Oryzias latipes: one gene and its partner. The protein of the gene in region 1 interacts with the protein of each later gene in a pairwise test. Links are inferred from orthologs where the notes say so. Each region holds a gene or a part of one and is shown in the gene's direction. Other genes may lie near its edges.

Region 1 (4,263 bases):
AAAGGGAGGTTCTGATGGAAACTATGGCTAAAGTTTGGATGACAATTATTGTAAAATGGAAGTTACACCTTTTTTTTTTGATTGCAAGAGACTGGACAAGATTCACATTTACACTTTTATTGTTCATATTGTAATTTGTAGACAGACCATGTCATACCAACATAGAAAAAACCCACTGCAAACAGTAACACAAAGGGGAAAAAAGATAGGACAATATTCTGTCCAACAGTCCAGGCAGTGCAGTAGGAATTGGTGTGGTCTTCCTACACCTCTTGTCGTTCCTGTATGTTAGGCCACAAATTCTCATCCACATCACAGCGAATATCCTCTCTTGCAATGCAGCGAAATATGATTGTCACATTATGACAACTTGGTCAACCATTTTGCAGTTAATGACTTATACGATGAACTAATGACTAGGAGTTTTGAGGAGTAAGACTATTGCACAGTGAACTATATAATACATTTTGATCAACATGACATAAACAATTGATAATGTAGCAAAGAGCAGAGAATTGTACATAATCATTTGCATGGATGTACCAAAGCAATTGCAACTTGTTCAAAGAAGTGAGAAACTGCTTATATGATGTGCACAAGTGACATCATGATGTGAAGATTGAACAAATAGTTTTGGGAATTTCATTCTGATCTGACAATTGTACTAAAGCGACTGAAAAAAACTGTAATTGCTTAAACAAAAGTTTTCTTTTGCCAAATTGTGTGAAAGTGAGAAAATCGTTGAGTCCAAATCCCTTCACTATATAGTGCGTCTACAAATCTACATTTCAAAATCCAGGGCCCTAGAAATATCCCAGAAGTCTCTACGAAAAACCAGTGAGCATGGATAGATAGATAGAAAGATAGAAAGAAAGATAGATAGACAGACAGACAGACAGACAGACAGACAGACAGAGAGACAGACAGACAGACAGACAGACAGACAGACAGACAGACAGACAGACAGACAGACAGACAGACAGATAGATAGATAGATAGATAGATAGATAGATAGATAGATAGATAGATAGATAGATAGACTTTATTTAACAGTTTTTAATATTTTAACACATTTTGTTAAAATATTTTTATTTCATTTTTTTTATAAACCAGCAGTTTCATTATCATTACCCAGTGGATTCATAAATTGTCTTTTTAAAGTGTTTGTAGCATTTTTTTATAGTTTATTTTGGGAAAACGTTGGTAAATGTATAGTGAACAGGTCCTGTGGAGCCCATAAAATAGCCCTCACCCTCAGGAAGGTTAGTGATTCCTGCCCCAGATGGTGGTAAAAGGGGCAAAATGCAGAAAAAATGTCTCACGGGTAAAGCGGTATTTCCACCGTCTGTACAGTAGGTGGCGGTGTAGGCCTTCAACGCAGATTCAGATTAAATGTACGGAGGAAGAGAAGGAAGGACGGAGTAGAAGAAGAAACGGACTCTTCGCTGTAGATCGAAATGGCGGCGCCAGCAGAGAGGATGGAGGTGAGGTCTTTGAGCGGGAAAAACGCTCATTTGTGTTCGAGGAAACGTCCGCGAGTTTTCCCGCAGGCTCCGGAGCGGCGCTTCGCCGGTGTAGAGGGGGTGTTAGCGCTGGAGTTTCCGGATGCTGCCGCCGCTCATTCATCACAGTGTCGCATTTACGAGAAAAACAGGGGAAACGGTTAAACTCTTCAAACTGGCTTTTGTTTACGGTGGGGTCTGGTGTGTATTTTCGGTTCGACGCTGAAGCGACGGTGGGGGGGCGGCAGGCACGCAGCTGGCGGTGGAACCGGCAGAGCCTTCGGACCGCATGGAGACTAACGTGCTAGCTGCCGGGCTAATTAGCAGCTCGTGCTAACACGCTGATGCTGAGCTCGGATCCGCCGGACGTTAGTCTGCCAGAGTTTACGTTAAAACTCTCGATCAACGTGATCCACTACGGAGCTCCACGTGGGTCACTCCACCCGCGCGGTGCCGGTTTACCGGAAACCTGAACTAGCTTTTCTGTCGAGCCTGGAGTGGAAAACCGGCGAGCGGGTAGTCCCACTGTTTCATCCCGGACTAGACTAGAATCTTCGGTACCGGTTCTGCCGTCCTCTTGAGTGTCCCGGTCTCTGAGCTGGTCCAACAACAGAACCTTGTTCTGGAAGTTGGTCGTCACGTGTGGCTTTGTTACGACCGAACCGACGTTACCGGGTGGGGGTGGGGGGTAGGATAACTCTAACTTCCGGTGGTCTCATGGGGCATCGGGTCCACGTCCTTTGTTCCTCTGAGGCAGCGTTAACGGATCGGTTGTTTCTCTGTCTTCTGTGTTGCCTGGAACCGGACCGGCTCCTCGGCGGTTCCAGATCACGTGACTCCTTTGATCTGCAGACATTCATGGGGTTTTTCCTCCTTTGAGGTTTCTCAGGGAGAGAGCTCAGCCAAGCCTGCAGCTGAAGACATGACATCCAAGGACTACTACTTCGACTCCTACGCCCACTTTGGGATCCACGAGGTACGCCTTCGTGTCCCGTTAAACCTGCGGCCCCCGGTGCCCGCGTCCTCAATCGCCCTCTGCTCTGTTCCTGCAGGAGATGCTGAAGGACGAGGTCCGGACCCTGACCTACCGCAACTCCATGTTCTACAACAAGCACCTGTTCAAGGACAAGGTGGTGCTGGATGTGGGCAGCGGGACGGGCATCCTCTGCATGTTCGCGGCTAAAGCCGGAGCCAAGAAAGTCATCGGGGTAGGAAGGCGTGGACTCGGCTTGGCGGCGCCCGGTTGCGGCGCCTTGTCTCATCCGTGTGCTTCTGCCGTTACAGATAGAATGCAGCAGCATTTCTGACTACGCCGTCAAAATAGTGAAGGCCAACAACATGGATGACGGTGAGTCCACCGCCGTCCGGTGTTGACCGCTGAATGTGGAGGGAAGGTCCTGACCTCTTCTGTCTCTAGTTGTGACCATCATCAAGGGGAAGGTGGAGGAGGTGGAGCTGCCGGTGGACAAGGTCGACATCATCATATCGGAGTGGATGGGCTACTGTCTGTTCTACGAGTCCATGCTCAACACAGTCATCTACGCCCGCGACAAGTGGCTGGTGGGTGTCTCCTTCTGGACGTCAGCGCTTCCTCCAAACTAGTAACTGTAACCACTGACTGTATGTGAGACCTGGACTGAGGGAGCGGGACATGGAGCTGCATGGCATGAAGAAAATTAGCCACCAATATTGCAACAGACAAACAACAACAACAATATAATTGATATAATAATGAGATTTTTTAAAATAAGTCAACAAACTGTACTGCCAGTTCTGTCAATAGGAGATGGGTAAGCGGGTAAATGCCCCCATCTACCCGGTCAAGAACAGACTAGATAATTTGTGGTTGGGTGTGTTTTAAACATTTGTCTGACTGTGCATATGTGTCAACGTTTACGCCCTCTTTGCAATGCGGGATTGCTCAAGTTGATATGGCCATGTTGATTGTTTTTTGATTTTTTTTTTTGTGCAGGCCTAGAATTACGTCAAACGATAGAAAAGTTCAAAATTAAATTTTTTACGCTGCCATGTTGAAGCCAGACAATGTCAGTGAGCAATGATTGGTCTAAGTTGTTTCTATGACAACCAATCAGAAGAGAGCATGTTGGAAGGCCACACCCCTACCACTTAAAGTGGGCTACACGAAAATCTGTCAAACGTTTCTAACACAACCTACTTTTGAGGCTTCTGATTGGTCAGTTTATTGTTTGAACTACAGAAAAAATATTTAAATTATCAATAGATTGTTAGGAAAAGGCATCAGATCCAGAACGGTTCTTCTGACCAATAGAACACAGGACGAACAGCTGTCTGTTTCTCTATAGACGTCTATGGGACATTGGCTTCTTGGAGTCACTTCCTGTTTGGAATGCCAGAAGGGAGGGGTTACTCAGTCCAGTTCTCTGAAACAGTCAATGGTCTTAACAAAAGTACGACATTTCAATGATAAAAGTTTCTACCAAAGCTGAGCTGACGGCAAAGGTTGGCGGCTGGAATTCTGGGAATCCCTCAAAGATCCTCCTGGTGGCTCTAGAAAGGAGCTTCTGCTGTGAACACAGTCATGATCGGTTCATTGAAGATGTTTAAATGTAACCCCTGAGTGTGTTCCTAACACTCATGTCCCCCTCCCTCACAGAAGCCGGACGGACTCATTTTCCCTGACAGAGCTACTCTATACGTCACGGCCATTGAAGACCGGCAGTACAAGGACTACAAAATCCACTGTGAGTAGGTCACATGACCGGGGCGGGGCTGGCTCCGT
Region 2 (4,593 bases), on another chromosome or scaffold:
AAATAAATCTGGATCTGTTGATTTTTAATGCAGCTTCTTGGAATCAACAATCACCAAAAACACCTGCTGTTTTATTTGCATGAAGAATTGTCATGTTTGGGGAATGTAAATAAAGAAACAGAATTTTTTTTGTTATGCAACAGTTGCCTAATTGAAACCAAAAAAAGTCAAGTTTGCTCGTTTTTATGGAAAAGCCACTGCATGCTGGGATCCTATGATGTGCCCTTTGTTCCAGCTTGGTGAGTTGGGCGGAGGAGCAGGGAAAGGTGGAGGTGGAGGAGGCTCTGTGAGGCAGGCAGGAGGTGCTTTTGGAAAGCGAGCGGTGGTGGAGGAGGAGCGGTACTTCAGGTAAGAAATGAAACAGGTTTTCGAGGAAAACTTCATGCCAGCGTTTCCCTTTTTGACAAGTATGGTTTTTGTCTGCAGAAAGAAGGAGATGGAGCTGCTGGAGGTGCTGAGGAGGCATCATTCGGAAGAGATTGAGCACCATAAGAAGGAAATAGAGCGTCTGCAAAAGGAGATCGACCGCCACGTTGGCAAGATTAGAAAACTGAAACATGACGATTGAAGTTTGCGCTCACAACTCTGATAGAAAGGGTGGCAACGTTGAAAACAATGTAAAGATAATTGACTATCTGCTCATTTTGGCAGTTAATGAAGCAAACGATTATCTTTTATATACGTTCCAAAATAAAATGATTGATTTTCTGTTGGTTTATGTTGATTTTCATTTCCCCTGTTTATGCCATCTCAAAATTTAGGGTTCCCGGTTACACCTGGACTCATTTTTTGTTTTTATTTTAAGCCTGTTATGGTGATGATATGGAGAGGTTGTGAACACTTCTGATGGCACAGCTGGAGATACCTGGTCTTATGTGATCTCAGCTGCTAAGCAAAGTCAGATCTGGATAGTCTTTGGATTGTTCTGTAAAGGTACCACAAGCTTATGGGGATGGATACGCTCCATCAGACCAAGAAGGGCATTTGCTGCAAAACTGAAGCCAAAACTTTCACAAAGGTCTGTCATTTCAGGCCTTAGCTCTGTCTGAGGGATTTACCCATTTAAGAAATTCACTCAGACCTTGTAAATACTTTCCTACCTCACTAAACCAAACAGGACAAATGAATAAACCAAATGAAACGAGGAATAATTATTACATGGATTAAATCACATTTTTAAAAGGGCAATATTTCAACTTTAATCGAAATTTACAATCAAACACCCCATCATTTAATCATAAAATAAATTACTAGTACTGGAAAAAATGTAAATATGTTGGTTTCTAAGTTATGGTGAGGAGATTGATTACACTTGTAAAAACAGTTTGATTTCCTTGTAGCCTCTGGAAATTTACACAATTTTAAAGCGGATATTACAAAACATAAAATTGAGAAAAATAAAAAATATTACAGAAAGTCATGTTTCCATTTTGAAGACCCAATGACACGAGCTAGATTTGCAAACCAACGTTGTACCGCAGACTCTCACATCTCGCGATGTTTCCCTCAGTGGCGTTGTTCGGGCGAGCCGAGACGAGACCGCTGCCGTCTGGAAAAAATTTGTCGTGTGGTAGACCTGAACATTCTTGGCATTTAGCATTTTCCCAACGCCCGAAAAAACAAGTGTTTCATATTTTTTCAAACATTTTCCAGCTAGTTTTCTAAATCATCCTGGTAAGTCTTGCTAACTACCCGTTTGTGCCTTTTACGGCGCGCGCGTGTAAAGGTGTCTGGGCTGCACGGCGAGGCCTTCGTGTTAGCCCGTTAGCTAGCTAGGACGTATTCTTGTGTACTGCTAAAATCAACACACATGGACTTTAATACTTCATTTAAACGAGTGGAACTTTTTGGATCTCATTGATGACTGTTTTTTTCTTAAGCTTTTAGAACATTTTGGGCCACGTAGTATTATAAATGAAAGATGTTAGCTATCGATCAGGCGCCATGTGAAGGGGGCGGTACTGTGGAATAAGCCTTTTAAAATGTATGAGCGGGTCGTTTTATTTTGAAAATCAGTAATAAATAACATTGTTTTTTATAATAATACTGACATTTAACGTAACGTTTTCGTTTAAAAAATCTTTGAGTTAAAAGCCAGATATTCCGTAATTTGATAGCTTGTTTCTGGTATGTCAAGTTGACAGTAAATGAAGTAATAAACTAAAACTGTTTTTATTCATGTCTATCTAACAGGAGAATGGCTTCCGCTGAGGTGAATGGTAGTTCGGCCCCAGTAAAGGAAGAAGAGGAGCCTATGGATGTGACTACAACTACAACTCACACTGAAAACTACCAGACCCTCATTGATGCAGGGCTTCCCCAGAAAGTGGCTGAAAATCTAGACAACATTTTCCAAACAGGTGGCTGGTTGTTGTTACCTTCAAAGCTCCAATGTGTTTGTTGTTGATGTGTTCAGTTTAGCTCACTTTGTCATGATGTTTAGGCCTGGTAGCGTATGCAGATCTGGATGAAAGGGCCATTGATGCTCTACGGGAGTTCAATGAGGAGGGAGCTCTAACAGTCCTGCAGCAGTTTAAGGAGAGCGATCTGTCCCATGTGCAGGTATTACACTCAATTATGTGCTCATCAGTACTTTTTTAAACAGTTTTCTAAAGTATCATTTGGTCTGTTTAATTGCAGAATAAAAGTGCGTTTCTTTGTGGAGTTATGAAGACGTATAGGCAGAGAGAAAAACAAGGCAGTAAGGTACAAGAGTCCACTAAAGGCCCAGATGAGGCAAAAATAAAGGTAAACGCTCTTGATTTGCAGTTTTTTTGGGCTAAGTTGAAATGCCAAAATGTTCTCTCAGTTACAAAGCTTTTCCCATTTTTTGATTGTTTACTTTCCAAGGCTCTCTTGGAGCGAACAGGATACACCCTAGATGTCACCACGGGACAAAGAAAGTATGGAGGCCCCCCACCTGAGGAGATGTTCAAAGGCACACATCCAGGGATTGGAACAGAGGTGGGGATTATTTAAAGAAGCATGATTACACATCCTGTTCGTTAAAGATCCACTCCGACCATCTTTTGATCTATTTTCAAAGTGTTCTCACTGGTCTTTTCATATCATTTGAAAAACAATCAAAAACCTGTGCAGTTTTCTAGATTATAGTTTCCGCAGAGCGACAGGAGTTCAGTAGAAATTCACCTGAGTGGACCGTTGCCGTGAAGCGCCCCCGCCCCCCTTTTCCCTTTGCAGAGCAGAGATGACAAATACAATCTTTTTAAATTTGTCTGCTCCTGATTTACATAGATTTGAATAAAGAAATACCCAAAAAATACAAATTTGAGCTAAATTTTCTTCCTCTATTTCAACAGGAAAACGCCACAAGATCAGTTTAAAATCGTTCACATACGCATGCTAAAACGAAATATATATACACACACATATATATATATATATATATATATATATATATATATATATATATATATATATATATATATATATATATATATATATATATAAAGCAGGTAAATAAGAAAGTTGAAAATAAATATGGATAGTTGAATTAGAAGGGAAATTGTTTTAATTTTATATAGAATTGTCATTTTTTTCATGATTGATTTAGTTTTTGTGTTTTGTCTTTCTTTCAGGTGTTTGTAGGAAAAATCCCCAGAGATTTGTATGAAGACGAGCTTGTGCCCCTGTTTGAGTCTGCAGGTCCCATCTGGGACCTGAGGTTAATGATGGACCCCCTTTCTGGTCAAAACAGAGGATACGCTTTCATCACATACTGCAACAAGGACGATGCCCAAAAGGCCGTCAAGCTTGTAAGTCCATTTTAAAATCTCATGGATCCCGTTGGATATAAAAGAAAGTGATTTTGTGGAAGAATAGTTTGAGCAAATGTGTGTTTTCTTCTACTGTGTTTCATTACTTTTCAAGTATTTGCTGTTTTTTGTTTTTTTGTTTTTAGTGTGATAACCACGAAATCCGCCCTGGCAAGTATTTGGGAGTTTGTATATCTGTTGCAAACAACCGGCTGTTTGTTGGATCAATTCCCAAAAACAAGACGAGGGAAAGTATACTGGAAGACTTCGGCAAGGTTACAGGTCTGTTTCAAGTCAATGATTGTATTTGGAGAAACCCTTTCAGTCGGTTGTCTGTCGCTGACGAGTGATGCGGTTTTTCTTTGCAGAGGGTCTTCAGGATGTGATTTTGTACCACCAGCCAGACGATAAGAAGAAGAACCGTGGCTTCTGCTTTCTGGAGTACGAGGACCACAAGTCTGCAGCACAAGCTCGGCGGCGTCTAATGAGTGGGAAGGTGAAGGTTTGGGGCAACCCCGTCACCGTTGAGTGGGCTGACCCTGTAGCTGAACCCGACCCAGAGGTCATGGCAAAGGTGAGCTATTTTCCTGTTCAGAAATGGAAGTACCTGTACCTGTAAAATGATTCTAAGACATACTCTCCTCTGTCATAGGTGAAGGTGCTTTTTGTAAGGAAGCTGGCAACAGCAGTGACTGAGGAGCTGCTGGAGAAGACCTTCTCACAGTTTGGAAAGCTGGAACGAGTGAAAAAACTCAAAGACTACGCCTTTGTCCACTTTGAAGAAAGGGACGCTGCTGTACAGGTGAGCTCTGCTCCG

The links.
Region 2: the proteins of prmt1 (region 1) and hnrnpr interact in binary tests that used the Homo sapiens proteins (3 or more experiments, as listed by UniProt). The link is inferred for Oryzias latipes from reciprocal best matches to the Homo sapiens genes PRMT1 and HNRNPR.

The regions. Positions count from the first base shown.
Region 1 is NC_019866.2:24,804,312-24,808,574, reverse strand, and holds the start of prmt1 (protein arginine N-methyltransferase 1), read left to right. Parts: upstream 1-1,361; 5' UTR 1,362-1,457; coding exon 1,458-1,484; intron 1,485-2,382; coding exon 2,383-2,478; intron 2,479-2,554; coding exon 2,555-2,710; intron 2,711-2,786; coding exon 2,787-2,850; intron 2,851-2,919; coding exon 2,920-3,062; intron 3,063-4,137; coding exon 4,138-4,225; intron 4,226-4,263. UniProt on the Homo sapiens protein: Arginine methyltransferase that methylates (mono and asymmetric dimethylation) the guanidino nitrogens of arginyl residues present in proteins such as ESR1, histone H2, H3 and H4, FMR1, ILF3, HNRNPA1, HNRNPD, NFATC2IP, SUPT5H, TAF15, EWS, HABP4, SERBP1, RBM15, FOXO1, CHTOP, MAP3K5/ASK1, MICU1 and NPRL2.
Region 2 is NC_019869.2:6,651,931-6,656,523, forward strand, and holds the start of hnrnpr (heterogeneous nuclear ribonucleoprotein R), read left to right. Parts: upstream 1-1,504; 5' UTR 1,505-1,674; intron 1,675-2,193; 5' UTR 2,194-2,197; coding exon 2,198-2,360; intron 2,361-2,443; coding exon 2,444-2,562; intron 2,563-2,640; coding exon 2,641-2,748; intron 2,749-2,850; coding exon 2,851-2,964; intron 2,965-3,599; coding exon 3,600-3,776; intron 3,777-3,922; coding exon 3,923-4,058; intron 4,059-4,144; coding exon 4,145-4,350; intron 4,351-4,428; coding exon 4,429-4,578; intron 4,579-4,593. Other genes in the region: ATPase inhibitor A, mitochondrial, read left to right, coding at 236-348, 427-568. UniProt on the Homo sapiens protein: Component of ribonucleosomes, which are complexes of at least 20 other different heterogeneous nuclear ribonucleoproteins (hnRNP). hnRNP play an important role in processing of precursor mRNA in the nucleus.